Linked DNA regions of Drosophila melanogaster. The protein of the gene in region 2 interacts with the protein of the main gene of each other region in a pairwise test. Each region holds a gene or a part of one and is shown on either strand. Other genes may lie near its edges.

Region 1 (8,206 bases), on a different chromosome or scaffold from region 2:
ATCATCCTTTTCTTCCAATCTTTGCGGCACTGTATTTATAGAGCTCATGGCGAATTGAGGTAATTTAAATTCAGCTGAACTTTTAAAGGTTCTACATTGGGAATCCGCAACAGCTTCTGCTCCATTTATGTTATCATTAAAAGGCCTTCCAGAAAATGGTTTAATACTTGAAGTCGTGTTTTGAATTCCTGTATAGTTTGCATCCGACGTATAGCAGTAAGGTACGACAGCTTCAGCTGTGTACTCAGAGTCTATTCCACAAGTCAAACCAGCTACACCATATTCGGATGTATCCTCATATTGACCCGCTTGTACATATCTCACTGTTGTAGCTAGTGGATGATTCTCAATGTCTGGAATGGAATTGTCTGTAGAGTTCGTCTCAATCTTATTTTGAGAGCAGTGTGGCGCAACTTTTGTTATTGCACCTACTCCTGTGGGCTTTGTTATATATAATGGAGTGCTTGAATATCCTGCTGCCGAAAATTGATCATAATTTTGAAAAGACCCAAATTGGGATTGCATGTTTGCAGGCTCGTGCGTCAATGAAAGGTCCATGTTTATGTGAGTTGAATTCATATTTAAACTGAAAAGGGAGTTAAATTTCTTTAATATACGAACACGGCATAATTAACGACTATTAGTTTAATCTAGATGTAATTTCGATTGGTTCGGAGTTCAAAACAAAAAGGGTACCAGTACTTACAATATGAATAGCAATAATTTATTGAGCTGTCTCCAGATCTGGCTCCCGGCTCTCTCAAATTTTTGTTCAAGAACCAAAACCAAAGAGCGGACAGGTCTACAGTCAGCAGCTCCCTTATACGCATACACGGACAGCCGACCACATTGACAAAATATGCTTCACTTTACTGGTTCTTAGGCTTTACATTTATATTATTTTTGATCAATTGACACCATGTAAAAAATTCTTGGTTTGCACTGCCTTAGCATGATAATTCGAATAGAAATTGTAATAGCAGAATCTATGAGCATAATATCACATAATAAATTTCATAAATGACTTTGTATTGGATTAATTGAAATTCGAGTATTAAGTTGGCCTCGTGTGAAAAATGAGAGAAAGACAACTATTTTAAGGTGCTTATGTCAAAAAGTCAAAAAAAGTCAAGAAGTCAATTAAAAAAAAAACTGGTTGTATTTTTATATTTATTTTATATATATATATATAAGAAATATATATATATTTATTTTAAACAATGTATGCTTATATAATCAGTTTGAAAAAAATTTTTTAAAAGTGTTTTATTTATTTGGAAAATGTATGCTTTAAATAATTTGTAAATAATTTTTTCACCTTTGTAAATAAGATCTGATTTAATATAAAAAGGTCATTATTTCGGCCAGACCAAAAGTGTCCGTTTTACGAATCGAAAAAATTTTACGATTTTGAAAAACGAAGCATCGATTTTTCTATTTCAAATGGAAATTGTAAAATCCTTACGAATTCGATTAACGGAGCATGCCCGATTATTAATTAGAAGCATGAATAAAAATATGAAACGATAATAAATTAGTTAAAAGGAAATTAAATTTTATATATAATTTTTTAGTAGATAATTTTGCAACGAAATTGACAAACTCTAAAAATGTACCTTCGATTCTTACATCAAAATTGATTTTGATAAATGTATGGCCATTACTTATCTTTTTATTCTAATGTCTTTGGTATGACGTCTGAGATCTCGGGAACTATTAAAGCTAGATAGTTGATACTAAGCATGCAGATTCTGGCGAAGACTTCCCTGTGCAAGATTATTCGTAAAACCCTTACTTTGAAAACTTGATTGGATTTCTTTATTTTATTTTGGTCTTACTAATTTCTAAGTCCAAAAATAAACATAAGTTATTGCCATCCGATTTTAAATTCGTATCATAGTATTATAAATAATTATTTAAGGAAGGCACTTCACAATCCGGGTAATTCTAACCTTCTTCCAACTTACCCAATGAGGAACTTTAACGAACGATCCATATGTAATTAGCGCAGTCGCACCAGAATTGATTTAATTAACGATGCCTTGTATTGGCAGGACACGAAAATGAAGCTCCTAAGATATATGTATGCACACGTATCCTCATGCATTGTAAATTTCACTAAATATGCCCTTCACTTTACAAGTTCCTATACTTTTTAAAACTCAAGTTTTGCATTGCCTGAACTGACAATTATTCAAGTATAGCTTAGAATAGAATAATACATAATAAATTTAAAAAATAGAGAATACTATAGTCGAGTTACCCGACTATCAGATACTCGTTACTTAGCTAGTGTGAATGCGAACGCGAAATTTCATAATTTTTCTGGAATATCGATAGATATTGGGGAACAAAATGAGAAAAAAATTTAAAAATTGTTCCAAAGTGTGGGCGTGACCGGTTAGGGCGCTAGAGTGGGCTTGGCGAAAAGTTTTTGGCAAGTAGATAGAAATTTACAAGACTAATAAAACTATAAAAAAATCGAAAATGGTTCAAAAATGTTGGCGTGGCAGTTTGGGAGTTTAAGGTCGTTAGCGTGGGCGTGGCAAAATTTTTTTTTTTGCAAATCGATAGAAATTTACAAGACTAATAGAAATGTTAAAAAATATGAAGAAAATTTTCCAAAGTGTGGGCTTTTTAGTTTTGTGCGGTGTGTTGGCGGTTGTCTCAAGAATCTGTATTCTAAATTTCAACCTTTACTTCCATTAGCTTTAATAATTCCTGAGATCTCGACGTTCATACGGACAGACGGACATGGCTAGATCGACTCGGAGGTTAATCGAAGCTAATGCACTAATGCTTACAGCCTTATATACCAGCAGCGGTGAACTTTTCGTTTTCGCTTTCGCTTGTGCGCCGGTGCTTTCGATGTTGCTTGGCTCTTTTCGTTTAGCGCACTTATGTAGATTAGCGGAACGCTAAGTGACGCACTACCCTGTATTCGTCAGCTATATTCTCTTCGGCGTCATTTTGCACCTTTTTCACATTTTACAGTTTTGTGCTGTTTGTGGGCGTTAGAGTGGGCGTGGGTCAACAAACTTGGGCTGCGTCTGTGTCTCTAGAATCTGTATGCTGAATCTCAACCTTCTAGCTTTTATAGTTCCTGAGATCTCGACGTTCATACGGACAGATCTTGATCAAGAATATATATACTTTATATAGTCGGAAACGATTCCTTCTGCCTGTTACATACATACCTTTCAACGAATCTAGTATACCCTTTTACTCTACGAGTAAAGGGTAAAATGACTGTTGGATTAATTGTTATTAGAGTATTCAGCTTGCGACTTGTGAAAAGTTTTAGAAGACAATGATTCTTAGGTGCCTATTTCCGCACGTCGTGCCTCAAAAAATCAATTTTGCAATAAACAGGTTACATATTTTTAAAATTTTTGGTAATAAATAGTGATGAACTATAGTTGATGTTTCGTTTGTGAAATGAGTCAAAAAACCGCTAAACGGATATGAAGAATATAAAATATGAAATGATATGAATATGAATGAAATGAATATATTATAATATAAAATATAATATATAATGTAATGTAATGTCATTAGCATTGGGAATAATTGCTGTAGTTGTCCTATCATAGTTGTACAACAATAGCGCATAAAATAGTTCAGGAGAAAATGGGATGATTGAGAACGAATCACTTGTTCTCTGACAAATTTGTCTTCTGCCTCAAACCATCGCGGATAGCATACAAATTTCCCCCGAACAAGGAATCCTTTACGACAAACAAGGGGAGGGGGCTTTAATAAAAACTCAAATTTTCATTGGATGGTAAAAGTGATGGTAAAATAATAGTATGTATACATAATATACATAATAATATATGTGTTTATAATATACACAATTTTATTAAATATTCTTTAAACGGAAGGCATGGATGGATAGACAAAAAATTATATTGTGATATTTTTTCAAATAAATCATGGGAAAATTATTGTAATTCTTTCTGAATTATGAGCGAAACTGTAAGCCACTTTAATACCTAGCCACTCCCTTACAGCTATGTACTCATAGGAGACAGGTATATAAATTTGTACATTGAGAAGCCCTGATAACAATGAAAATATTATTGTTAAAGCATTTTTGCATGCGTATCATTTTATATGTCATGTATACACACATAAGTTCCTTCCTTTTTTTCATACAGTGATTGATTAGCTCGAATTAAATTATCGATTTTTCTTGTTTTATTATGTTACACAAACTATCACTAAAAAAATTAAATTAATTTTTTTTCATTTGATTTAATTTGATTTAATTTCATTCCTTATTTAATTTGATTTGATGAAAACAAGAATTCGTGTAATTTAATTAACACTCTCTTTGCCCTTTTTATATGCGAATTCCAACATATGTATGTTTAAATTAATACCACATACCCGATTAGGCTGTGTTTGAGAGATCGCGCTTCCATAGATGTCCATATGTAAAACTACATATTCACAAAAAATTGAAATCCGATTTTCCAGATATTAAAGCATTTAGTACAACATCATACACAAAAAAGGAAATTCTGTAATGCTTGTGACAAAAGAACTAGTTCATTATTAAGTGGTTCGATAATGTAAGCGCAATCGAATACTTTATGTGAAAAAATATCCTAATTACAATCGGTTATGCTCGGGTAATCGTAATTTGTTTTCGATTTCGATTTTGGCAAAATCTTTCGATTTCGTTTTGGGTGCTCTGGTTTTCGCAAAATGATTGCTATTGGGAATGTTTTGTTTCTTTCTGCTGACTTATTTTGTTTGTCTAAAGCAAATAACGTGAAAAAGGCCTTTTATATTTGCAATTGCTTGTTTTGAAGCCAGGAGAAGCAGAAATGCATTCAACAGTAAATAGACGTTTAAGCTGTTTTCCAGACAAGTAGAGTTTTAATTCTGATTTACGCAATTACTTTTCACAGCACTTTATCCAATTAAGTAACTAACTGAAATACCACTATTTACGAATAACACTTTTGGTCGTCTTTTAAATTAATTAATATTTTATATAAAAATTATTTATTTATTTTTTATAAAATAACTCAGTAGCAGAATGATCTTGTGCTGATGTGGAATAAACATCAATAGACCACTAAGTTAACTATGTTATTCCCTTAGTAAAAGATCTGTTTTGTTATAAAATAATACTAATACTTATTACTTTACCTAATTTTATGTATATTATGTATAATAATTAAATTTCTTTTCATCTGATTTCCAAAAACCTTAGTCCTGTTAACCCTAAGGAGTATTTGTATAACAAAGAAAAATATTTATTTAAACAATTTATAATTATATGTAATTTATTTAGTTGTGTCAAAAACATTAGAATAACAAGATGCGTAACGGCCTTACATTGGTTATGCAATATTCCAGCGACTTGTTTGGTGACGGCTGTAGAGCGTACAAATCTAGGAATGGTATGCGCCCGCTTGTGTGAGTAACAACAATAACTAAAAGTGTGTATGCTGTGTGCTATTTTTAGACGAAATCAATCTATACCTAAGAAACGAATTCGTATGCTTAGAGCCAATTTTCTTTTTATATGATCTAATCTAATATTATTTAAAAATGTATGCCCTGACAATTATTTTAATATTTTTATTTAATATTTGATAAATTAGCCGCTAAAATAAGGTTTCATTAACATATTTATATTTATGTTTGTAATTACTTATACATATGTAAGAATCGGTACACCATTACAATTCGAGCCGATTTGAAATTTTGTAATGTTAAACACTAATCCATGTTCACTTTTTGATATTGTCATCGTGGAAATTGGTGATTGGCAAAATGAGTTCGTCAATACATAGACAAATAGGATAATGATAGTTACAGTGCGTAGGCTGTGCAGATGAAAAGTGTGTTAGTACATTCGGACTTATGGAAAGTCACATGGGGTCGACTCGTCAAAGAAGAAAACGATAGTCCCGAGAAAAAGGCTTTATTTGACGAAAAAGACAAAAAAGCCATTGACAGTATAATATTGTGTATACATAGCAAGTCAACCACATAAAGCATTGTGAAACCGCTAAAGAAGAATGTCAAAAATTGCGTGAAATACATACACCTACGGGACCGGCGCGTAGTATTTGCTTCGTGTTACAAAATTTAAATGTGTGAAACGGGCACAGTGGGGGCACATATGAACAAATTTTATGACATTGTGCAAAAATTAAAAGAAGTGGGTTTTCTAGTTCAAGAAGAAATCCTAAGTGTTTTATTATTGTCAAGTTTGCATCAATCGTTTGAAGGCTTCGTGATTGCTCCAGAAACACGAGATGAGTTTCCATTACTAAGAATTCTAAAAATTAAATTGCAAGAAGGACAATGGCGAAAAGTAACAGATCAAGTAGAAAAATGTGAGCAAACGGTTATTGGAATTCGGTCCGCGAACGAGAATGAGAAGATCGATAATAAAAGAAACGGACAAAAAGAACACAAGCAAGTAAAAAACGGTAAAATAGTAATAGTAATAGTAAAAGAATAGTTACATACTGGAATTGTGGAGGTAGTGGTCACAAAGCTGCGAAGTGCAAAGCGAAGAATAAAATCGCAAGAGAGTTAGAAAGCAAATCCGAAATCATATTCGGCATTCTGCTCTGTCGCTCAGCTAGACAATTCGCCGAAAAATATGTGGTGTTTGGGCTCGGGTGCTACTGCTCATTTGTGCACGAAGAGATCATTATTTAAAAATTTAAGAGAATATAAAGAGCGCATTCTCTTGGCTGGAAACAATTACATTGAAGCGGATGGTCGCGGAACAGTTATTTTAAAGTGGAAAAATTCTACTATATAACTGATTAGGCCACACAGCACGAATCATTTCATAAAATGATATTTAGGTAGTTTAGAATACGATTTGCAAACTTATTGTTAGTCTCTTAAGTAAAAGCAAAGACACGATTTTTTCGCCGTGGCTCTAGAGGTGGCTCCAGGCTCTCTCGAATTTTTGTTCGAGAGCGAGAGAGCGCATACAGGGATAGCAGACAACTGTATGTGTGCACACGTATGCTCGTGCATTGTAAATTTGACAAAATATGCCCTTCACCTTAGAAGTTCTTTGACTTTAAATCTATATTATTTTTGATCAATTGGCACCATGCGAAAAATTCTTGTTTTGCATTGCCTTAACGTTATTATTATTTGAAAATAGATTAGAAATAGCCAAAACTATGTACATATTATCACAAAAATAAATTTTAAAAATGACTTTATATAAGAATATTTGTCATTAGAGTATTCAACTTGCGGCGTGTGAAAAATTAATAAGGCAATGATTGTTGAGTGCTTGTGTCCGCACTTCGTGCCTCAAGATATGAACAAAGCAAACACACAAGAATAATTCTAGTGTCTTTGATATGACCTTTGCAATAAACAGTAATCATATTTAATTATTTAGTATATTTATTAAGTCAATTGACTTAATATGATGTTTCAAAAAAAATATTTCGCTTTTAAAAAATTGTCAGATGAGAGACAAATTAGAATTAAACATAAATATAAATGTTTTTATAACGATTTTAACAAACAAATTTAAAAAGCTTTAAAATTATAATAGTCAGGGCGCGAATTTTTAAAAATTATTTTATTATATCATATTGCTACGAAATTGGCAAAAAAACTATCCTAATATGTACAATGTAAATTCGTTTCTTCGATCAGAATTGATTTCGGCCCAAAAATCGTCTTCTAGCACAACACGCAAACATATACGCGTTCTCGTCTCTTGTTTTTACAAGCTTTACAAGCAAGCAAATTATATTTTTAGATTTCTTATGCTCTTAGCGGGAGCGAGCGGAAAGAGAGCAATTTTGGCCGTTACTAAAAAATTGGCTGCATAGTGCCAAACCATTGTATGGCCGTTACGCATCTTGTTTTTCTAGTGTCTTTGATTGAACTATAAAGACAGACCTAGTTCGTTCGTTCAGTTTGGTTAATAGTTCAATTTAGTTCTTTCGTTCACGAACGACACAACACTACACAGTACATAAACACGTTTGACTTAAATACAAGTTCGTACAACTCGAAAAAGCTAGGGTATTATTCATGCTTGGCCTATTTATTGAATCTTCCCTTTTACTTAAAAGACTAACAATAAGTTTTCAAGTCATATTCTAAACTAACGAAATATCATTTTATGAAATGATTCGAGCTGTGTGGCATAACAAATTTAACGCTGGGCTGGTTGGTCGTTCCAGTGCAT
Region 2 (8,182 bases):
TGTACCAACAGAGGACCTCCGCTATCGCCTTGACAGGAGTCCTGACCTCCTTCCGGAAATCCAGCGCACATGGCAGTGTCCGGAACGTGCTGTACAAATGACGACCTGCAATCGGACTGCTTCCAAACCGGCAGGTTAACCTGAAGATAGGAGTAATACATATTTTCTTAATTTAAAAAAGCTTTCTTTGTTATGTTCAGCTTGAGTTACTAAATTGCTGAAACCAATTTGTTTAGATCAATATAAGAAATTGAAAGCTTAAGAACAAAATAAAAACGCTGTATATAAAATGAAATATACTTTAATATGCGACCCACCTCCATGAGGATGTTAGAATGAGGACCGCCAAACTTTTGGGTGCCCCAACCGGTGACAATGGCGTTTCTATCCGACCAATCTTCGTTCACGGGCGGCATGCAAACTGGCCAGATGTAGGTGTTGAATATAGTCGCCCTGTCGATTCTGACAATTGCAATATCATTGTCGTAGTTCTGTGGATTATAATCGATATGGAGCACCATGTTGGCAATCCGGAAATCCCTCGCCCTCGTCTCATTCAGCATATGCGTGTTGTACTCGCCCAGACGCACGAAGATGTCCTCCTTGTTCTTCTTGTAGATGCAGTGAGCGGCAGTTAGGACATGACGGTCGGTGATCAGGACACCACCGCACCAAACGAAGGGCAGACCCTCCTGCAGCAGGGCCGCCATCCAAGGCCACTCGTCTGGCTCGGCTGGCCGTCCACCGGTGAGGCGGGGAAACTGCCTGGACGTGATCCCACAACCTCGCTGCTCCGGCTTATTAACGATGCGCGGCTCATCACCGTCCGCACTGGTCACGACTTGCGGACTAAATCGGTTGCTCGTCGACTGGTCAGTGCAGCAAATGCCTATGGAGCTGAAAGACAAATTATTTGTACATATAATACAAGGATGCCAAGCCATTAAGAAGAAAAATTCATATACCTTTTCTCAATGATGCAAAGCTGGGAGACCAGACGCCAGACATCATTCTTAAGTTCTGGCATGCGACAGTAGATAATGTGGCGACATCGGCCGGATTCACCCAATGGAGTGCTACATGCTCCATAATCCTTGTTCTCCTGCGGTTATCATTTGTAGTTACCTGATACTGGTATGTATGCATAAGACATAAACTCACCAGCAATTGCGAGGTGGGAGCCTGTCGCTTGTTTAGGCGATGTTGGGACAGGAAACTTACGACGCGGTTTTCCCCAGTGCGATTTTCGTATACCTGATTCTCCGACTCCCCCCATTGAAACTCATCATTATCGCTGAAGTCGAGAAGATCTGGGTGGTAGACGAAAATCTTTAGGTTTGGTTTACATTAGATTCTTGGAATTTGTCTTAGAAATATCAAGTATTTGGGTGAAATGAGTTTTAACTTTGATAAATAACTTTGCTATTAAATGCACCTGCACAATTTTTTATGTTGGTATAAAAACGTGACTCACCTAAAAAATCAGTGGATACAGTCTTGGCGATTGTACTCTGCGGGATATAGCCCAGTAAAATCACCAATGCCCAAAGAAATGCCTTCATTTTGAGTTATTTTCGCGAGTGCAGTGGGAATTTTAATCGCGTGTCGCTTCCGTTGCCCGCTGAATCAGTTCTGTTTTGACAGTTCTCCAACCAGCTAAAGCTACTTCTCCGATATGGAGCTGAGCTCAGATCGGCTCAATTTACATACGTCTTGCCTTGGATACTGCTGTTGAACCTGTTCGATGCGTCGACACTATGGGGTTTTCCTGGCTATTAAAGCGTCTTACTCCATGCTCAGTTCCCAGGCGAAAGCTTAATGGGATTGGAACCGCTAGCGATATAGTAACTATTATATAATACTTGAGTTAATCCGAGCACTTGGCTTATCTGTAGGGCGGAAAGCGAGCCACTGAAATGACGTCCCCTTTAATGCCTCTGAGCTTAGACCCAATTTGGTGTATTATCTCAATGTTGCTGGCAACAGCTTGGCAACATGTTGCCAGGGGCGAGTAGTGCCCATGATGATCAGTTTGGATTCTCCGAGGCGAACGTGATGTGCATCGCAAATGATCCGGTTCGGTGGGTTTTGATTCCATAGAAGTATCATCTCCGAAATACTAAGGAAGATTTTATACTCAGTTATATTCTCTATTTAATTGCCTTTTGACGCTTGCACATCAAAGTAGTAATAATAAATCAATTGCACGGCACAACCGGAATCGAAGAAAACATTTGCGATGCACGGTTTGATTGTCACTGCAGAAATGATTTTAATGTCTTAATTTAAAACCCAACCCTTTAACATTTTAACATAATTTAAGTAATAGTATTGAATGATGGAGGCGAAGAAAATGGAATGGGGCGACTTCAGTTGGCAGATTATGTTATTATGTAATAAGACGAATACCGAATAAGTGTACTAAAAAATAAGTTTAAAATAGAAAGCGTCAAACAAATAATTAGTCAAAATATCCTTAAAAAATATTTAAAATATATTATTTTAATATTATTGCGAAGACCATATTTTTATTATTTAACAATTTTTATAGGTAGAGCACTGGATTTGAATTTCTGGGAATATTATATGATCACATATACATATGAATATACATATATGCGGTGCTATAAACTCATCGCTTACCCACTTTATCCTGAAAATTGGTTTAAAAATTATTATTTATTATTTTTTAACAGGTATCTCTAAAATTCGACTATTGTCGTGTCATTCAAATGGTACAAATACAACTTCCTAGTCAACTCAAATGGCGTGCGAGTGTGTTACTTAATTATTAATCCCTGCGATTTAATTACCACCTTTCCCTGCCACCATGATCACCTATAAAACTCTCCTACGACATGGTTACTCAACGTATTTAGCTTTCCGCCACCATGAAGCATTGGAAACGACGCTCTTCCGCTGTTTTCGCGATCGTCCTGCAAGTGCTGGTACTCCTGCTACCCGATCCTGCAGTTGCCATGACGATGGAGCAGTTCTTGACCTCGCTAGACATGATCCGCAGTGGCTGTGCGCCGAAGTTTAAGCTCAAAACAGAAGATCTCGATCGGCTTCGCGTGGGTGATTTCAACTTTCCGCCATCGCAGGATCTTATGGTGAATGCCGCTTTCATTTTGCAGGCACCAGTGTTTGAATCCTTTATCCTTTTAGTGCTACACAAAGTGTGTGTCTTTGATGGCGGGCACTGTGAACAAAAAGGGGGAGTTCAACGCTCCCAAGGCGCTGGCCCAACTTCCGCATCTGGTTCCCCCGGAAATGATGGAGATGTCCAGGAAATCCGTTGAAGCTTGTCGGGATACGCGTAACTACACCCACACTTACCTTTCATAGCTGTAAATATATGTAAGGTATATCTTTGCAGATAAACAATTTAAGGAATCTTGCGAGAGGGTCTACCAGACGGCCAAGTGCTTCTCTGAAAACGCCGATGGGCAGTTCATGTGGCCTTAAAAATGTTTCTGGAAACTAAATTCATACTGGTTCATCCTTTAATGACCAATCCTTGGATGATTGCTTTATTATCTATGTTGAAATCATCAAATAGAATTGGAATTCGTAAAACATAAATTATGACAAGAAAGGAAGTTAGCTTCAAAAAGCCGAAGTATATACTTATATACCCTTGCAGTAATATGATGTTGATTAAATTGAAACCAAAATTTATATATTAAAGACAACTTATGTATACAGAATAACATCAATTTATGATTAAAAACGACGAAACTGTAGTTTGTGTTATATTATTTCATTCGAAACTCTATTTTCCGACTATTCGTATGCCTATATGACAAAGTCGTCCAATTCTGATTGAATCAAAACTGAAATTATATATTGTCAAAGTAACAAAGAACATTTTGTTTAAATTAATTTTTCGATTATGTATATACCCGCAATCGACTGAATTCGATAAGCAAATCTTTTTTTTTGAAAACAATCTTTAATCATATATTTGAAAACCTTTTTGTAGATTAAAATGGCACCCCAAAATATAAACACGCCGCATTGATTTCAAACATGTTATAGTTTATTGCTGATATTATTAACTAAATACAACGGTTTTATGTTTGCATAACGCATACTTATACATTTTGTAATCGATAAACATCCAATTGGCTTAGCAATGCATTCAAACTTAGGGAGATCTTTGCATTCAAGAGGTTACAAAATAAATGCAAATCTTATACAAAATGGTTGCCTTGCAAATCTGCGTACAAAGTTCTCTGTAATCGAGAGTAATCGATATCTTAAATTTCGGTTTCGGTATAGGAGTAGTGTCTTTATATATGTATGTAGATCTCTCCAAAAAGGGTCTCACAAAAATATATCCGATTAGAGCGTGTGTGCGGATTAGTTGATGAATTTGATGAGGATGTTCGAGGAAACCTGTGTAAACAACTAAGAGTCTAATGACATTCACACGTATATATAGTAGTTAGTACATTGTATATAAAATCAGTACACATTAATGCTTGTATATTGAACCGTTTGTTGTTAGCTGCTTTGGTTTGGTTTGGAAATACTTTTAACTGCTACACACACACATCTAAATAGGTTGGTGGTTCCGTAGACAACTATAGTCATACACATACACATATAGTTAGGTATATAATTTGATATATCGTAGTTATAATTAGGTGGAGATTCGGGGCAAACCCTCGTCGATTCCACTGGGATTGTGTAATGCCGTTGATTGTGTTGTGCGTGGGGACCAAATAATGTCTGAGAGCTGGAGAGTGTATACAAATGTCGTATATAGGGGTTTTCTCCTTTCATAACTAGCCTAGAAGAGTTGCTTGTGCTTCGAGTTGAGTTTTCGTTAACATTACGATCTGGGATCACATTTGGGTATATCAAACAATATAGTAGAGAGCTAAAGCTTTTCCATCAGCCCTGTTCTATGCGATTTTAAGATTCCTTTGCAGGGCTTACACCATAAACTTGGTGGTCTTCAAGGGGAAGACGTAGAATTTGGTTTGTGCCTAAGACGTTTGAGCGAAGAAAATGCTTCTGGACAGGATCCATTAAGGTGGTAAGATGACAGTAGACGATTGCTGAGTAAGAGTTCATTGTTCAGGAAGGGGTTGGTGGTAATTTTGATTATGTTTTCCCATTGCATGGACAACCATTGTCCATTATAGCTAGCTTAGTCCATCAGTCGAACGCCGGCTTGAACGTCATCGGCCATGCTGACTCCCTTCTTTTTCTTGCCTTCGCCGGCGGGCTTCTTCTTGGTCAGGACTAGGGTTTCCGGCTCATTCTGCGACTGCTGACGCTTGCCATTTCCGCTGGCTCCGCCACCACCACCTCCGCCGCCTCCCCCTCCGCCGCTGTTGCTTCTCAGCTTGAAACGCGTCGTGGCCGCCGCCGCATTGTTGTTGGCGCAATTGCATATGGCATCGAAGATCCGCACCACGAATCCTCGAGCGCGATTCACCACCTTGCCGTTCTTAAAATCTGGTATGGCGAAACCTGAGAGGTTAGTGCATGCGAGGCGCAGAGAGTACAAAAATACGGAAATAAAGATCAGTGATACGCAAAATACAAGTTAAGTGCAACAAAATATGGTCATGCAATCGAGCTGGCTGGGTTTTTTGGAAAATGGGTGAAAATGGCGTGCGAATGCGTTTATATATTCTAAATTATATGCTTTCCTCAGTTTTAATTGCCATCTGTTAACAACCGTGGAGGAGGCCCACAACGGTCGCCCTGTCATCAGTTAGTTAGGTCAGCCCACTTTTATCAAACAAGTTACAACATTACGCGACAGTTCTCTTAATTTCAGCACGAAGATTATACTTTCCTAAATATTTGCAATATTTGAGATTTAGACCTCATCCACCAACTTTTAGCCTAGGCACTCTTAGGTGTCAAGCGAGTTCATTGCCACGAAAGTCATCGATACAAAAATACTTAAGCAAGACTAAGAAAAGGATTTGTGCACAAGTGTCTATTCAGCGGCCAGCACTTGGCAAGGGTTTGCGCTGAAGTGCTCGAAAGGGAAAAGCAATACACTATCCAAATAGCTAAGAAGTGAAATGTACTGAACCACACTGCGTATACTTACTCGGTCGTTTTTCCTTGCCCTGCAAGGGAAGTTACAAGTTAGTTCAGTTAGCTCGAAAACGAATATTAGATATGTGTGGTCAACCTGTTGCGATTTCTGGCTCTCAACTGCCCGCCTGTTCGCCTCCGTCTCAGCCCGCAGGAGCACATCGTCGAGCGCCTCCCGCAACGCGGCCATGTTCTGGGGATTTTGCTTGAAGGCCTCAATCCGCGCCTCCAGTGACTCCGTTTCGATTCCATCAACGCTGTCCGGAGACGCTGGCTCGGGATCCGCAAATCTGGCATGCATCTTTCCTGGGTTTTTGTGAGAATTCCTTTTTATCCTTTGAAAATGCTGCCAGAAGCGTTTCGAGCTTTGCCTTTGTCCTGCGATGGGTATCTACAAGGAGTGCTGAGCAGAGCTCTTTGTGCGTTCACCCAGCAATGCGCTGGAGAAATCAATAGCAAGCCACTTGGGGGCCCATACCCGCACATGCGTGCTGACTGCGTGGGCAAGCTTTCGATTTGTGGGGTGGGAGAGCAGTCAGTTGATTTCAACAGTTCGTTATTTACAGAACTGTAGCTTAATATTTCTATGGGAAATCCTTAAATAATGTTTTTTTTTTTGCTTGCTAAGAAGAACTAAATCCATTTTACACAAAACGTGTGAAAATAATGATTTAATATTCTTCCTATTTGTGTGGTTACATTTTTTTGGGGTAGGAACCCGCATTTTTTATTTTATTGCATACAATATGACAAAATGTGGACTACGAACTAAGCTGGCTACTCCAGGTGCGAGAGATCGTCCAGCTCGGGCGGTGCGCGCACAATCTCCGTCTCAATGATCAGCGAGTTGGCGTCTAGGATGCTCTGAAAGATTGAACTGTTATACCATCAACTGCTGGCGCTTCGCTACCGGCAATAACACACACATTATCGCTGCTCCGCTGTGCAGCCGCTAGTAGACTGCCGCTCGAGCTTGAGTTCGAATTGGAGGCACTGGCAGCGTTGGAGGCCGCGGAGAGGACCACGCTGTGCGGAGAGCTGCCACGCCGCACCACCTTCGCCTGGCCCTGCTGCGGCGAGTTCTGGGTGACTATCACAAACTTTTGCGCCGGCTGGTTGGCCTGAATGGCTCTTATTTGCGGCAGGGACGAGACTCCGGGACTTCTAAAACAAAAGAATATTTAACCGCTTAGTAATGGGCATAAAAAGACATGTCAACATGGTTTCCATTAGGAATCAAATGCTTGGCTGGAATTTTATTTTATGCTTAAAAGTGTTATTTACCCCTGTCTCTGTGTGGTGGGCATGGACACTCGTCCGATGGTTGTTGCTGTTTGTGCTGCACTCGTGATGGGTGCCGTGTTGATAGTGTTGGATGACAGGGTTACAATGCTTGAGGCGGGCGCATTTCGAACTTTGACTACTGCCTGGCACAGCGACGGCCCCAGGAAGCCAAAGTCGTTCTTGTAGTCCTCCGCTGTATCTGGCGCTGAGCGCATTTGCCTGAGAATCGGGGGACAGCACTTCTGAAGCATGGCGCGGATGTGACCTGCTGCTGTCTTGTCAGTGTTGCTGATGGAGGTGCCGAGCAGGTGAGGTTCAATGCGCTCCGATATGAACTTAAGGCGGGGTATGATGAAAACCTTTATGACTTCGCCCCCCAGCTCCGAGAGACCCGCAATAGAGCCGTAAAGCGAGGACAGGTGGGTCTTGTCGTTCTGCAGGGCCTTGCTGAAGATGCTGAAGGTTGGGAAATGGATGTTAAAAGGTTATTTAATTTAAGTGGATGTGATTTACCGGGTGACACGGGTTTGCAGATTGTTGGTTAGGGTATTGAAGTTCTTGCAGATTTGAGCCATCAGTCGGGAGGCAAAGTCTCGCAGGGCCCAGTGATTGTCCAGCTCGGGGCGCATACACAGCTGTTTGGACACAATGCACGTCATCACCGAGGGTATCAGTTCGTGGAGCTATGCGGAGACAACATCGTTTTTATGAGAAACAAAGAACAATACAATAAGAAATTTCTTACGTATTTCTCCAGAAACAGCGAAGGATTATCCAGAAGCGCACGAACCATGCGCATGAGGTAAATAAGCAACGCCAAGTTGTTCTG
Region 3 (8,212 bases), on a different chromosome or scaffold from region 2:
GCGGTTGCCCTCCTAATTAGTTCGAAAAGGTCTTAGACGGCGGCAAAAAGAAAACTAGGGAAAACTTCCCAAGTTTGTGTAATCAAATGAGCTAAGAAAGTGAAGCTGTAATGTCGGAGGCGTCCCGAAAACACGACAAGTAAATCCCATTTGGCACACAAAAGTGCCAGAAGTTGACAAACAAATACGTTTGGAGTTTTAGCTTGCTAACTTGGAATATAAAGGACAAGAAATAAGAACATAATTCAGATATTTATTAAAGAATGACATGGACACGGCATCCTTTGCCACGAATCAGCGTATTCAAAGGCGAAGTACCTAATATCTATTTTAAATATCATTAAAAAACCATTACTTTGAAATAAAAAAAAGAACCTAATTACCACTTGATAATGTGCCTAGTTTCTGCGGCTGTCTCGTATCGATTTTCGTGCCCTAATTGGTGGAGCAAAATTGCTTGTTGGACATAAAAAAGGGAATTATTGAAAAGCCTCCCGAATCTGAATAGCAATCTGGATCCCCTTAGCACACTCTATATATACGCACATAAAGAAAGAGGGCAGTGTTGGGCGGTTTGATTCAATTTCTGTTCGCTTTTTGTTGTCCGAAGGTCGTGGCTTTTATTGGCCGTTTTCGGTCCGTACCGTTTCGTTCCGTTCGTTTCTTTTTTCCTTTTGGCCAAACAATTAAATTTTCGCTGTGTGAATATTTCTTTTTATTTCGTTTTTTTTTTGCTTGAATTATGATTATTTATTCAGGCAGCACCAAGAAATTTTCTTGGCCACTTTTTGAAGAAGACGCAAATTATGCGCAATAATTTTTTCCAAGAGTGTGTGACTCACTTTTCATATTTACACATAATTTATTAATATCCGTCAAAGTTTTGAGGCATTATCACCGCAAATCAGAATACAAAAAACTTTTGCGACTAATTAATAATATCAACTTAAGTTTGACGGCGCACCAAAGCTGATTTCCATGTTTTTCGACCACCAGGTGGAAATTGAATATTCAGCAAATATTGCGCATACGCCGCGTTGCCTTTGTTTATGCGATGCGTTCTATTTCTGGATTGCGAAATTAATTGCGAATCAGAATTGAAAAACAATTTTCCCAGCCAATTGTTTGGCATAAAAGAGAATGGAATGAAAGATGTACATATATCGCCGGGAATAAAAACAAAAAACGAGGACAATAAAGAGAGCTTCTTGCCTTCATTGTCCTTTCGTTTTTGTGATGAGTTTTTCACGTGCCGCTGTATTCACCCTTGTCAATTCCAGTTACAGGCCGCCTAAAAAATATGAAACATAAATGGAAGCCAAAGGACTGCTGTCAATAAAAATGCCTTTAATCCGACTGGCAACTTTTTCATTAGTTCCTTTTCGTTGGGGGGGAGGGCTGGCTCCACTAGAATTTAGTTTTTAGTTGTATTTTTAGAACATTTCCCCGTGTTGAGCAAATATTATTGATGACTTTCTATTCCAGCCCGTGCAGGGGTATCCATTATGACTGGACACGAATGCGGGGAATCGAATCAATCAATAAACGAGGAATCCCAGCTGAAACTAAGCCCAGCTGAAGTATAAGCTCCATGGGTCCAGGAAACGTGAGGACATGACAGGAATCTCCCGCCGTCCTACGACAATGAGCAGAAAGGAAGGCAAAGGAAAGTAAAGGGAGTGAGTGGGAGTGGGAGTGGGTGCTAGTGGGCCCGAGGCCATGGTGGCGGAATAAGGGCCATTCAAGGGTGGTGGCCCCGGGCCATTGAATCGAATACGCATTGAAGTCGTCCTGCCACGGCTTTCTTTATGTGTGTATGTATCTGTGTGTGTATATGTGGTGCGCACAGATTCGGGCCACAATCTCGCCCTCTTAACTCGAAATTGAATTTGGCTTGGAAATTGTGTGCTTTGCCGCTGATGGAAGCTCAAAGAAGCTGGGTTTGGAAAAATCACATTTTTGAAATTCGAAAGCTGGAAAACCCCACCAATTGGTTTTTTTGCCACGTCCAGTTTTTGAGATATGAAATTTCAAAGAAGTTCCAAAAAATTCGACATTTTTGTTTTATAAGAGTGGGCAAAAAAAAAAACTAATTTTAAAGGATAGGCAAACGAAATTATTTATTGGGCAAACGAAAAAAAAAAACAAATTTTAAATGGTGTGCAAACGTTAAAAAGTCAATTTTTTGATTTCCAAAAATTTTCGAAAATTTATATTTCAAAATATAATATTTCAAAACGTAGGCAAAAAAAACTAATTGGTGGGCAAAAACGGGCAAACGATTTTAGCTTTCAAATTTTAAAAATTCGATTTTCCGAACCCAGCTTCTTTGAGCTGCTGATGGATGTTTGTCTCTCGCCTGTTGGTTGTTGGCCAACTGTGTTGCTGGGCTCTTATTCTCCTTTGTCCGTTTGGCGAAGATGCCAAGTTTACAAAATGGAGGAATTAATTGCAAATACAGCTCATCGAGAAGGAGCTCGAGAATTTATTATCTGGATTCCGTTTTGCAACAGGGGAAAAGAGGATATTAAGAACGGGAAATGTAGTCGGATTACATAAAAAAGGGTGTAACTGGGGAATTTTGAATTCAAGCAGTTTAAAAGTCTTAAAAATAGATGGCACTGCATAGAAAGGCACCTTCCAGTTGTTTAATAGTTCCTGTTGTTATTTTCAAAGAAATCTGGGTTACATTTAAATCTAGACAAAGAATTTTAAGTTATTTGAGCAAAATGATTTTACGATTTAGTCCACGCCTAGTACTTTTTACAGTACCATTTATATGTTTATTTTTGTTTTTATAAAGCTTGTCCAACCCTTTTATTAAGTTTTTATGAAAGTAATTATTGCTTTATAAAGGTGAAGTATATATACATTTGTAGAAACAACGGGTGCCTGACTGAGCAGCAAAACTCATAATTTTCCTAAATTATGAAGTGAAGTGTGCCAACTAGTCATACTAGTTGTACTTGAATGCTTTTCTTTAATTTTCAAACTTATAGAAGCGAATTCTATAAAAGTTATCCGGGGGTATTCACTGATTTATGGCCCGCGTACTCATTTCAACAATATTCGAGTAGAGGTATGGGTACATATATGGTGGGGCTCATTCCAGAATATCTCAGTGGCTTTCTGAGCACTTCGATCCCCGCCACACTAGCTGTAGTATAACCTCACCTGGCGACCCACCTGCCCAAGCAGGCGACTTTTGCTGGCTTTTTAATTTCTGTTTGCTCTTTAGTTGTTTAGTTGTTTGTTTATCAAGCAATGCCAACCCTTGAGCAATTGATAAGCGCGTGAAATATTTAATCGCACGGGGAGCAAACACAAATGGCAGCGGAATGGAAAGGAATGGAATGGAATGGAATGGATTCCAATGCGAATGCGGCGCGATACTCACCTGACTTTCTGCTGCTTTGCTGTCACCTGCTGGTGGTGATAGTTTCTTTCGGGTGGGTGGGTCTCCTGCGTCCACCTGTTTCACCTGCTCCTCCGTCTCTTTCTTCGCTGACTTTTTTTGCCTTGTTCCTTAGCTTGCTTTTGTTGTTTTGGCTAAAACCAAATTTAATTTGTTACTCTCATGGACTTTCCTTGTTTTTCTACATTTATTTTTGGATCGTTGATGTTGGTGTTTATTGCCGCTTTCGCTGTTGTTTGATGTTTTGAAAGTATTTCGGTTAATAGATTTTGATTGCTGGATTCGTATTTACTGAGATTTGAGCGATTTTTTAGTTGTCGTGAGGTACACTTTTGAAACATCAATTAGACGAGCTCCAGCCATTAAACTAATTTTCAATCTTATCAATTTTCAATACGGTGAATTTTTGTACATGTATGTAATTAGTTTTGGTCTGGTTTCACTTTATTTGTTTTATGCCTAATATTTAATTCCCAAAAGGCATGAAATAATAACATGCCAAAAGTCACGTAAACCAATATTTAACCAGGTTTTGCAAAAATTTCGTTTAAGCTTTGAAGAAAAACATTTTTGTTGTTCGCCAATGTAACTGCTTAATTAATTGGGTGCCCGAAATTGTTTTTCGCTTGAACAGACATTTTTGTTTTCTTGTGTGCTTAACTGCAATTGTTGTTTATTTTTGAATTGCTACAGCGAGCCAGCACAATTCATTTGTTCGGTTATAAATAAAATATGAAGTGAATTCTGGTTGTCACTTTGCAAAACCTAATAGGAAACACAAATTAGCGAACAAAATTGACGTGATTATTTTGCTTATTGCTCAAATTTGATCAAAACCTGCTAAACGATGGAGGAACTTTTGTTTTTTTTTTTGCGAAATAATTTGTTCAAGTTGGCCTAAATAAACATGTTGGTTTTTGTGTATAATTAGGCATTTGTATTGTTGTTTATTCTCTACTTTCTTGCAACTCCTACGTAAATTGACTTTATTTTGCTTGACTTTTTTGGGTTTGTAATAATGTAGGGGCTAATTCTGATTGGCATCCTGAAAAGCTGGCGCCCGTGACCCAATTTCCGAATATCGATAGGCGTCGATAACGCAGGTAGCAGTTGCACTTGCACTTGCACTTTTTTGAACTATTCTTTAACTATTGTTAAATCCAAACAAGATATGATATCTGGCAAAAAAAAAACTACTGATTAGGGCAAGTATTTAGTTAATTGATCACTGCACTTGTTTAAGACTCGAAAAATAGAGCGCTCAAAACCGGCATTTGAATCATATGCGCAAGCCCCTCTCTCGCTCCCCACTCTCTCTCAATCTCTTCGCGCTCCAATTTGAGATCCCCTTTCTCCACCTGCACTCCGCACTCGCTGTCTCTTTTTCACACGCAGCTCTCGTGTTTATTGATTGTCCCCCACCGAAAAAAACCTTCAAGTAACAACAACACAACAACAAAAGCAGCGGATAGGTAGATTTCTGTATGTATGTATTTTGTATTTTCGGGGGAGGGATTGGGAGGCAGGCCACCTACACCGCCTCCCGCCTACAGCCCACTTCGTTTTTTATTACGCGCACGTAGTGTGGTTTTTTTTGCTCTCTGCTCTCACATTTTTACATACACTTGCACAATTGAAGAGAGAGCGAGAGGTGATAAGTGCACAGGTGTAGGGGCGGGGGGCGGGGGGCGGCGCGAAGCTGGAGTTAATTTGCGAGCACGCTTTTTTGTTTTTCGGGCTTTTCTCTTCGGTGCAATTACTTTTTCGACTTTTAAACGCACATTTTCCAGCGATCCACCAACGCACAACGGCACACGGTTCTATATTTTTGCCACCGGCGATTCAACCGCTGTTACTCGTTAGATTTTTTGAAAAATTTTAATGGCAAACGTAAACAAGTGCGAACGGTGAAATATATCGCAAGCAGAAGCCTCTGTATTCCGATTCCGTGTCAGGCAAAAATTACAAAAAGTTTTGAATTGCGGGTTGCTTAAATAGACTTGGTGCTCCCGCAAAAGCTCGCTCTCAGCGGAAGCTCTCTCTCTCTCGCGGCCAGCTCTCTTGCGTGTGGGTGTAAAAATACTGAAGAACATACCAAAGCGGGGCAATTGTAACGTAAGTTTTTCAACGGTTGTCTTCAGATATTTAGAAAATTAAATAAAAATATATGTAAGAAAAATTGACTACTTAAATGAAAGAAACCCCTAAAATGATAACACAATGACGTATTAAATGCAGCATTAAATGGACGTATAGTCCATTTTGAAGGACTAATAATATAAAAATCATTTTTTATTATTATAATTCCTTTGGTGGTCATAACAAACAGTGGGAACTGAAGCGAGGTCTAAACAAACGTTTAAGATGCAATATTTTAAAAACAAGATGCAGGTCGATCCGACTGTCCACTGATCATCCGTAAGGGCGTTATGATGATCGCATCATTGTATAGTCTAACGGCGGAGATGTCAAACTCGATAGCTCTATAGCTCGGATTTGTAGATAGTCCACAGCTTCATCAATGGTTGGGATCTCGGTTTTCCCGGATTTCGCTTTGAATAGCGGGTGCGTACTGTGCGTTTCCGGACTGGACTGTTCCTTCCCATTGTCCATGTTTATTGAATCAAGCGCTTTAAATTCAAATCGCAATAAATGTTTTCATTTCACTTCTTGAGAGAACTACATATGTTACCAGGTGGAATGAAAAATCTGTGCATTATTATGAACCTGACCGATTAATACCATTAACCGATAGATACCAACACTGGTATTATGTTCAGACCACATACTGTCCACCGAGGTTGCACGTGCGTATTTTGTTTGCAACAGTTTCAATCGAGTAAACGAATTGTTGATGAAAACGATGCTCGCCGCCCCCACAGCCAGCAGCAATGGGAGGCCTATTGGGCCCCACAAGTCCTGGAAGAAGGTGAACGAGGAGCGGAAAGCGTTGAAGCGGCAGCGCAAGCAGGACAAGCTGCTCAAGGAGCTGCAGCAAGCCAAAGAGGCAGAATCACAGGCGGGAAAGGCAGCCAATGAGGTGCAGGCTAAGGATAAGCCTAATCCGTCCACGCTGAGCATAGCTGTTCCCGGTTCAATTCTCGAGAATGCCCAATCCAACGAGCTGCGGGCCTACGTGGCCGGTCAAATAGCCCGGGCCGCCTGCATCTTTCGGGTGAACGAGGTAATCGTCTTCGACGACGTGGGTATAGCCACCGCCCGGGAAACAAAGCGTAGTTACGAGGCAGATGGGGAAGGCAGCAGCACTGGCACTGTGCGCAGCAGCTCATTACAACTGGCACGCATATTGCAGTATCTGGAATGCCCGCAGTATCTCCGAAAATACTTCTTCCCGCTGCACAAAGACCTTAAGTACTCTGGCTTGCTGAATCCATTGGACACACCGCACCATCTCCGTCAACAGAGCAAATTCAGGTATCGTGAGGGCGTCATTTGCGACAAGAAGGCCAAGGAGGGACACAGCTACGCCAACGTGGGGCTGCTTAACGACGTTTTGGTTGACAAGGCAATAGAACCAGGCGTCAGAGTAACTGTAAAAATGGAACCTCAAAGTGGTAGGCATTTAAATCGAACATTTGTGCTCCCAGTGCCGAACTAATGAACTATTCGTCCTAACAGAGAGCTGTAGAAAGCAGCGGGGAACACTAGTTAGCCCGGATGAACCACGTCGGGAAACAGGTGTTTATTGGGGCTACCAGGTGCGCATCGCACACTCCATGTCTGAGATTTTTACCAAATCACCCTACGCAACCGGCTACGATGTTACGGTGGGTACCTCGGATCGCGGAACCAACGTACATGAGGTGCCCAACCGATCATATAACTTTAATCACATGCTCATTGTATTTGGCGGACTGCAAGGCTTGGAATCTGCCTTGGCCAACGACGAGAAACTGACCGTAGATGATCCTGAGCTGCTGTTCGACCACTATGTAAATGTTTTACCACGCCAAGGATCTCGAACCATTCGCACCGAGGAAGCGCTGTTGATTGCTTTAGCGGCTCTCCAGGAGAAACTGCAACCGCAAGTGGCTGATGTGGAGATCGATTTGACTGATCTGCTACCTAAAAGTGAGGATTCAGGCATTGCAGTACGGCGAGATGTTTTAGTTAGCAAAAAGCAAAAGAAAAGGAAGCAAGTAGAGGATACTCCTGATGAAACAGTCGTTGATGAACCTTCATTTTCAAAACCATTGCCGAAAGTGGCTCGACTGACGGCCAATCCTTTTGCCGATTCCTCCGAGGAATTAGCGAAAAACACCCCAGCACAAGACGATTTTGAAGTGGTTTCATCCACCACCGTTTCTGGAACAAGCCACTCGTGTGCAGATGACGACTTAAGTCGGTTCGATTAATGGGAATAGTTGGAATTTTATTTTTGTAAATATACAGATCCGTATGTGTTGCTTAAAGTTTCGCTTTTGATTTTCTTGTTATTCCACTAAGCGTGTATACTATTTTGTTTTTTGTTGACGCGAGCTATAACGAGCTATATTCCTATATAGACATATACTTTTGTTCGAAATGTTCTAATAACTTTATCCTTACACACTAAATTAATACGATTTTAAATTTCAAACTCGAATGTCCAAGCAAGAATTAAGATTTTGATCTCCTAACATTTTTCGCATTATCACTTACATACATATACATTACAATTGTCTATCGACTCATTCGTAACTTAAACATAATAACCTAGTTGTCCCTATAGGATGGACTGTCTGTACCTCTGTTATTTACACACTGAAAGTATATGTATGTCGTAAGGAGGCTTCA
Region 4 (8,296 bases), on a different chromosome or scaffold from region 2:
CTTGTTATTGACCAGAATCCAGTTCTCAGCACTTGGACTGGAGACTGCAGGTGCTGCAGATGCTTTCGTGATCTCCGAATCCGAAGTGTAACCACGCTCTGGCACGGCAGTTGCGTCCTCTTCGCCACTTATAGCGCCATCAGACTTTGCACTTCCGTTGGGCGGCAATGGCAGCTGGGCATCATCATAATTGGGCGGCACAGCACCGGCTCCCACGCATTCAAGTAGATTGAAAATAATCTGCCAGTCCTGCTCGGAATGAATATTTTGGGCCGACGTCTTGAGCAGCTCATAGATACCAATGGAAATCTGTTTAGAAATGCGCAGCAACAAGGCTGGCTTAAGCATTAAAAGCATCTTGAGCGATTGCAATACGATCGGACACAGTTCTTCGTTTCGCATCAGATAGATAGCTAGTTTTAGGACCGCTACAATGCATCGGTTGAGTAGGTAGTCGTATCCACAGGAGGCACTGCCCATAAGCAGTAGGTACATTTGGTCTCGAACTGCTGGCCACAGCGGTATCATGCGATCCCGGTTATGAACAACTATCTTGACCAAAAATTCCATCCAGAAAACAGTTTGATCTTCGGCGTACGGCAGGCCAATGGATTTGTGCCCCTGAGGAGCCTTCAGTAGCGCTAGAACGCATTTAAGCAACTCCTGCAGCGACTCTAGTTGCACAAACTTTGATTCCTGCAGCATTTGATCCAGCTGGCACTCCTTAATGCACTTCCGTCCCAGTTTGATGAAGTCCTGCTCCTCGTACGTTGGTTCTCGCTGACCCTCCGAGCTGATAAATGAGTACAGGCTGGAAAATAGTCCCGATTCCTGCTTCTCGCGGGGCTTTTCCAGGATTAACATGGCCTTTCCGTTCGCCTCACAAAAGTCTTCCACTTCGATCAATGATTTTGGCAGCAACTTTAGACGGAAAAGCTGCAGATATAGGTCCAAAATGTGTTTCCAGCTCTCTCTTAAGCAATCGCCGTAGTCGTGAACCAATAGAAACACCGTTCGCATGGCAGCCTGAGCCTTTCCGTTCAATCCAAAGTTCACAGCTTGCTGGGTTTCATTGTTCGCCGGAGCGGGCTCATGCTGTTCTACGCTGCTCAGCAGCGTTGTGAATTTGCAGAGAGTTAAAACGAGGGCATCGAAGTCCGAATGCAGATTATAGTGCGCCGATATGGCAGCGGATTTGCTGAAACCTGAAATGTAATCGTAATGTGAGATGTGAATGGTAATTATTAGATGTTTATGTACGTACCTGCTAGAGTTCTTTGGTAGCCCGTTTCAGTGCTTTTATCAAACATAAAGCTTAGGGCGCTCAGAGAAGCACCCCACACAATATTGAAGATCTCCACGTCGTATGATGCGTCATGCACATAGTGAAAATGTCCATCGTGCGTGTCTCCTCGTCGAAGCAGTACTTTCCATTGATAATTTTCACGCACCAGACCCGTTTGCTCTGCTGGCATAACGATCTCTTCGTTCCTTAAATAATTAATAATCGGAAATATAAGCAAATGAGAGTGACGCTATATGTACTAAAGCTTACTTGATTGCATTAAAGACTTGAGCCAGCATTTCTTGATCGAAATCTTCGCCACCGTTTAGACCACGCAAATTCTTAGTGAAGTCCTCGAGCGTCATTGGAACATTTAAACGCTTCGCGTTCGAGTTGTGCTGATCCATGTTCAGCATGATGATGGCATAGGCCAAGCGAAAAGCAGCGTCTACGTTGGCAAACGGATCTTGGTTTTGTTTCTATATTGGTGGGATACATACATGATTAATATCAGAGACTGCAAGTATTTTAGTAGATGTGTATACTCACATGCCAATGATCAGAAAAGTGTTCCAGCACCAAAAAGATCAATGGAGCCTCTCCGGGCAATCTGAAGGTCTCCAGATAAAGACGCAATGCTTGATCCACTCGAAGACCAGTGAAATCAAACGAGTCCACAAAATTAATTAGAATCTTAGAGTCGACGTTTTTCTTTTTCGAGATATATTCGCCAATCATTTTTTTATCGAGCCCGGGATTTTCTCGAAGGAACAGGGCCACCTGCATGGGATCAAGCTCGGCATTTAGGATGCCGTGTTCTTGCAGATACTGGATTCCTTTCTCTGGACGCTGATTAAATCGCTCTGTGCCTTGGGATAGCAGACGCTTCTTCTGTTTGACCTTGGCCAGCTGTTCACTGGTTATTCCCACTCCCTCTCCGCCAGATTGTAGTCGTAGTCGATGTGAGCTCGCATTTATAAAGCTTGCGATGTTCTCCACTTTCTCTTCTGCAGCTACACTATTGCCAGAATCAATTACGATTCCCTCCAATCCGCTGTTGTGGCGAGAATGGCGGCTGCCACCTGTTGCTGGGGCAGCTTCTGGCAAGGACTCTCTGTTGTTGCTGCTATTCTTGCTCGCGGCACAATTTCGCTCGATACTGTCTATCACACTTAACAGGGTGTCCATTGAGATAATGTGGGTGCTATAAACTGCATTCGTTGCTGACAGCGTATACTTGCTCAGTAGGTTTGTCAAACTTTCAAACATATCCGTGCAGTACAAGTCACAATCGTAGTTGATATACAATTCCGTGACGAAGCCGGGAATGCGCCACAACTGCAGTAGATTGTCCAGAGCGAGTTCTCGCATTTCGTAGGGCGTCTTGGGATTATCGCTAGCAATAATCTCGCTCAATTTTCTAAGGTAGGCTTCCAGCTGAAACTTGAGATGTCCGCGGAGAGACTCGAAAAGCAAAAAACAGAGCTGCAAATCGGCGGCAAAGATGCTAAGCCGCTCTGAGCTGAGAAGCTGTAGGGAAAGGAAAGAGTTAGGTCAGAAATAACTAACGAAGCAATTAAGAGTCCCTTACCGATATTAAGTTTCTGCATAAGTCGTCCTTAACCAGCTCCAGCAAGCCCTCATACTTTCCAATATTATCGGCTGCGACTTCAAAAGCTACAGTAAGTAGACTAAGACCCGTGTGCATCATGCTATCCGAGTTCTGCTTATCCAGAGGATTGCAGAGGATTATGAGGAATCGGAACAACTCCTGGATGAAGGGCAGGCCATAAGGGGATAGTGATGTTACATCGTGATCGGTGGACTGCTGTGTAAAACGGACGCCCACCGAGTTGATGTACTCGCTACTATTTGCCTCGGCCAGGGTGCTGGTTGCTTCACCCGTTTCGCCGTCCAGCAAGGGCTCCGATTCAGTCGACTCCACTTGAATAACAGGAGTCTCCGGGACAGTGGTTTCATCTTCCCCCGTGCTCGCCGTTGTTGTTGGTGTCTGCGTAATCTTGCCCTGCATGTCCAATATGTTTCCCGCTGGACTGGCGGGTGTGGTGGCCAATATGGGTGCCTTCAAGTGCCCTGGCACCGTCAGGTTGGCAGACTGCGGTGTTTGAGGCGGTTCCTCCACTGCTGACGATTTCCTGGGTGCTGTCTGGGCTTGGGCAACCGTCTTACGCTTTAGTTTTTCTTGGGTAGCTCCGCTGGCAGCATCGCCGATAGTAAATCGCTTCTGGAGCATGGTGTCACTTCGCTCTTCGGCGAACTGGGGAAGGCGCATGAAGAAGAGCAGCACCATGTCCTTGAGCGATTTTTCCGCCGAGCGACGAAGCAGTTCACTCAGCCTCGGCTCGAAGGAGATCTTGAAGCAGCTGAGCATCACCTCGCACATGGACACATTGCTGACGGCGGCTCCTTCGGGACTGCGGATAAGCGTGTGCAGCACCTCAATCACTCGCATAAAGGTGACACCATCCGAGGACTGATCGGTGCCCATAAAGCGGGCATGTGTCACAGCATCGGCAATGCGCTCCACAATGTCAGCCAGATTTGGAGACGTGGGATCTGTGGATAGGTACAGAATGAGCAAATGCAGAGGGTAAGCACTAAATCATAATACCTATTAGCCCGTAAGACAATAATTTGTTAACCGAGGCCAAGGCTAGACTAGTCAACGGACCCGTGGCGTCCGCCGTGCGAATCACCTCAAGAAACGGAGCCAGGAAGACCTGAGGCTCGATCTGACGCAGGTCCTCGATCCGATTTAGCTCATGCTTGAGGTCAATGAACAGCTTCAGCAGCGAGTCATTCTCGTCGTCCTGTGGATGTGCAAAAGGGCCATATACTTTCTATTCGCAGTGAGCATTAGGGGCACTATTTACCACGTAGGCGGTGGCATTCCAACGCGTTCCACGTCGCATCGCCGTCATCAGGGTGGCCATTTCGCCCCGCACCACGTAGATGCCGTTGCCTGGAAGCGCCATGGTGTCCGCGTGTCCTCCGTTGCGGTGTCTCTACGACTGCAGCTAGTTGGCTTCCAGTTCCAGGGCTAGCGCTGAAAATTGCAGTTTTCGTGGGGCAGGGCAGCTCCTCCTCCCTTCCCGACGACCTTCGCATATGTTTTGGCACTCGCCACTTGCCCACTCGCACACTCACGCTGCCTGGACGAATCTGGGCGTGCTGCCTAGTTGGGCATCTCTCACTAATCCTAACTAATCGAACTGGTAAGCTGCTAATTTTTGGTGACGTTTACGTGTCGTTTATGTTCTTGTGTGCAGTCCGAATATTTTGCACAAGCGTCTTCCAACACCGGCGCGGCAGTTCGTCGCTTCGCAGCACTGGCACAGCTGTAGATGCCAACTCGATGCGGAAATTTCAATAGATTAAATTGAAATACAGCTGCAAGCGTATATAAAAAAAATATAACCTTGTTTTTAAAATAAAATATGTTGCCAAGCTGTCGATCAAATTGATTTAATCAAATTGATATTTGAATATGAGGGCCAAAACAGGTGAGCATAATCAGTCACGCACGCATCTTCAGTCGTGAGCGTTACACCCACCACTAAGTTACACTGGCATTTGGTGCGTAGGCGAATTTCTAATTGGAATCGTTCGATTTTTGAAAAAGAATCGCATTAAATGCAAAGCATTCCTGTTCCAGACTACTGCGCACACTTGCACTGAGGCGATCGAGCACGGGGCAGGTGGATTTACAGGACTCAGCGATACCAAAGCAGCCCACAGGCCGAACAATATGGGAAACACGGACTCCAAGTTGAACTTTCGCAAGGCGATTGTGCAGCTGACGCAGAAGAACCAGAAGATCGACCCCAGCGACGAGCAGTTCTGGGAGCAGTTCTGGCAGGGCCACCAGACGACGCTGGAGGATGTGTTCGCGCTGGTCACCTCGAGCGAGATTCGCCAGATACGGAACGAGAATCCAGCCAACCTGGCCACCTTATGCTACAAGGCGGTGGAAAAGCTTGCCCAGGCGGTAGACAGCAGTTGTCGCACGCAGGCGGAGCAGCAGTGCGTTTTGAACTGCGTGCGGCTGCTCGTCCGGTGTCTGCCGTACATTTTCGAGGACGAAAAGTGGCGCGACTTCTTCTGGAGCAGCCTGCCATCGCAGGACAAGACCATGCCGTTGGCTCAGTCACTGCTCAATGCCACCTGCGACCTTCTTTTCTGTCCCGACTTCACGGTTACGGCCACGCGGCGTGCGGGCCCCGAGAAGGCCGAGGAGTTGGCGAACATCGATAGCTGCGAGTACATTTGGGAAGCGGGCGTGGGTTTCGCCCAGTCACCGCCCCACAACGCCCACATGGAGCGCAGGCGCACGGAGTTGCTGAAGCTATTACTCACCTGCTTCTCGGAGCCCATGTACCGATCGCCGCAGCAGTCCGAGGAGCCCAACAAGTGGATAGCATATTTCACCTCGGCCGACAATCGCCATGCCCTGCCGCTGTTCACCTCGTTTCTGAACACCGTGTGCTCCTACGATCCGGTGGGCTTCGGCGTGCCCTACAATCACCTGCTGTTTGCAGACACCACAGAGCCCCTGGTGGAAGCGTGCCTTCAACTGCTCATTGTCACCTTGGATCACGATATGGTGGTGCAGCAGCAACTCACACAACCCGGACAGGCGTCCTACGACGAGGGCAATTGCGGCGACAACTTGTTCATTAACTATCTTTCGAGGGTTCACCGCGACGAGGACTTTCACTTTGTGCTCAAGGGCATAACCAGGCTGCTGAACAACCCACTGGTCCAGAACTATTTGCCCAATTCCACAAAGCGACTTCATTGCCACCAGGAGCTGCTTATTTTGTTTTGGAAAATATGCGACTACAACAAAAAGTTTCTGTATTTTGTGCTAAAGAGCTCCGATGTTCTGGACATCCTGATTCCCATTCTGTATCACCTAAACTACTCCCGAGCGGATCAATCTCGAGTGGGCTTGATGCATATTGGAGTATTCATACTGTTGCTCCTATCGGGTGAGTCATATGTCATATGTTTTGTTCGTGGAATCAGTGCACTTACACTTAAATAAATGTTTATTGATAGGTGAGCGAAACTTTGGGGTTCGGCTTAACAAAGCATACTCCGCCACGGTGCCCATGGATATACCTGTGTTTACTGGAACCCATGCGGACTTACTCATCACTGTGTTCCACAAAATAATAGCCACTGGCCACCAGAGGCTGCAGCCGCTTTTCGATTGTCTGCTGACCATTCTGGTAAATGTCTCACCATATCTGAAAACCCTCTCGATGGTGGCTAGTGTAAAGATGTTGCATCTCCTGGAGGCTTTTAGCACACCCTGGTTTCTGCTATCGGCACCCAGCAATCATCATTTGGTGTTTTTCCTGCTGGAGATCTTCAATAACATTATACAGTATCAGTTCGATGGCAACTCGAATCTAGTCTACACCATAATTCGAAAGCGTCATGTGTTCCATGCCATGGCAAATCTCCCGACCGATATGGCTGGCATAGCCAAGTGCCTGAGTGGCCGTAAAACAGGTGGAAAGTTTAACTTGCCGCGGGTACCACAGCGAAGAACGCCAGCTGTGTCCCAGGAACTGCCCTCGGCCCACGTGCCAGAAGAGTACAACGAAGAAGACGAGGATGAGGACGAGGAGGAGATAATTAATGAAGAGCCCAAGGCGGAAGAGGATCTCGAATCGGAGACAGAGTCTCATGAGCGATCTCAGGCGGGGGAGCTGCAGTCGGACGTTCTCACGGCGCAGCCAGCCGAGCCAGGAACACTGAAAACGTCCTTGTTGGACACCCCGGGCATTACTCAGATGACGGAGCGGGAGCAGGCGCATCCAAATGACAAGCCTCAGGTGGAGGATTCTACAGACATTGTGCCCTACGACAGATCAGCCGCTTCGACGCCAACTGACGAACGCAAGTCCACCTCACCCACGGAATTGTCCCGCTTGTCGGTGGCCCACAGGGCCAGCATTCGCATGGTGCCTGGCGAGAGCGATCGTTGGACGCCCACGCCCGAGTGGATCGTCTCCTGGCGCTCCAAGCTGCCGCTGCAGACCATCATGCGACTGCTTCAGGTCCTAGTGCCCCAGGTGGAGAAGATCTGCATTGACAAAGGACTGACCGACGAGTCGGAGATCCTCAAGTTTCTGCAACACGGAACGTTAGTGGGACTGCTCCCAGTGCCGCATCCCATTCTCATCCGAAAGTACCAGGCCAATGCGGGCACAACGGCATGGTTCCGCACCTACATCTGGGGTGTCATCTACCTGCGCAACGTGGAGCCTGCCATCTGGTACGATACGGAGGTCAAGCTCTTCGAGATTCAGCGCGTCTAGGTCAGTAAGTGGACTCCCAGCTACACCAGCAGCGCAATCGTAGCTTACACGCTTTGGCATTTACTGTAGTTAATTTATTTAGTACATATTTCATTCCAAATGTTTTTGTGAAGAATCAGTGTGTAATGAACTACCTTTCCCACAATTTTGCTTATTGGCAACAAAAAAAATGAGGCTTATCAGTTACGATGTGGCATTGAGATCCATTCAACAGATTTGTTATCGGCTTTTAGCATTGATATTTAATTGCTTTCCTAATTTGTTTTGAAGAGTGTTCTAAAAAACAGTATAAGCACAAAGTGTTTTTATTTTAGTTAATGACTAAATTATTAAACAACTCATGTTTTTGTAATCTGTGACAGAAAATGTTCCTTGTGCCGTATATTTTATTGCATGGTTTTATTTATTTTATATTTTAATAATTTAAAAATTTCCTGTTTTTACTTATGTATGTATTTAAGGTGCAAATACCAAGAATAAATTACTTTCACTCAGCCACTCTACAAACGATTCGCTTTATCCAAACAAATTTGTAACTGCACCTATTGACACCATAAAAAGCTTTACGTTCTCTTGTAATGATTAGGAAACTTTAGTTGAGTCCAATGAACTGCTTTGTAAACTTAATTAAATATAGACATTAATGATAGAATTGAGA

What was found.
Region 1: the proteins of CG9368 (region 2) and p120ctn interact in a two-hybrid assay, tested with the Drosophila melanogaster proteins (one large-scale study listed by BioGRID).
Region 3: the proteins of CG9368 (region 2) and Pka-R2 interact in a two-hybrid assay, tested with the Drosophila melanogaster proteins (one large-scale study listed by BioGRID).
Region 4: the proteins of CG9368 (region 2) and garz interact in a two-hybrid assay, tested with the Drosophila melanogaster proteins (one large-scale study listed by BioGRID).

The regions. Positions count from the first base shown.
Region 1 is NT_033778.4:4,591,649-4,599,854, reverse strand, and holds the start of p120ctn (p120 catenin), read right to left. Parts: upstream 4,568-8,206; 5' UTR 4,428-4,567; coding exon 4,393-4,427; intron 587-4,392; coding exon 1-586.
Region 2 is NT_037436.4:19,599,961-19,608,142, reverse strand, and holds CG9368 (uncharacterized protein), read right to left. Parts: upstream 6,511-8,182; 5' UTR 6,371-6,510; coding exon 6,167-6,370; intron 6,102-6,166; coding exon 6,083-6,101; coding exon of another isoform or gene 6,042-6,082; exon of another isoform or gene 5,488-6,041; coding exon 5,162-5,487; 3' UTR 4,023-5,161; downstream 1-4,022. Other genes in the region: CG9372 (uncharacterized protein), read right to left, coding at 1-140, 318-897, 966-1,102, 1,162-1,310, 1,475-1,562; lush, read left to right, coding at 2,892-3,113, 3,169-3,319, 3,380-3,468; Taf6 (TBP-associated factor 6), read right to left, coding at 6,924-7,233, 7,354-7,809, 7,867-8,036, 8,099-8,182.
Region 3 is NT_033778.4:10,020,654-10,028,865, forward strand, and holds the start of Pka-R2 (protein kinase, cAMP-dependent, regulatory subunit type 2), read right to left. Parts: upstream 5,390-8,212; 5' UTR 5,176-5,389; intron 3,707-5,175; exon of another isoform or gene 3,550-3,706; 5' UTR 3,398-3,549; intron 1-3,397. Other genes in the region: CG12128 (uncharacterized protein), read left to right, coding at 6,270-6,990, 7,055-7,791. UniProt on the Drosophila melanogaster protein: Regulatory subunit of the cAMP-dependent protein kinases involved in cAMP signaling in cells. Mediates membrane association by binding to anchoring proteins, such as Akap200. Might play an essential role in the regulation of neuronal activity in the brain.
Region 4 is NT_033778.4:12,322,659-12,330,954, reverse strand, and holds the start of garz (gartenzwerg), read right to left. Parts: upstream 4,596-8,296; 5' UTR 4,282-4,595; coding exon 4,180-4,281; intron 4,117-4,179; coding exon 3,918-4,116; intron 3,863-3,917; coding exon 2,877-3,862; intron 2,816-2,876; coding exon 1,835-2,815; intron 1,765-1,834; coding exon 1,556-1,764; intron 1,492-1,555; coding exon 1,265-1,491; intron 1,206-1,264; coding exon 1-1,205. Other genes in the region: CG8841 (uncharacterized protein), read left to right, coding at 5,055-6,297, 6,368-7,638.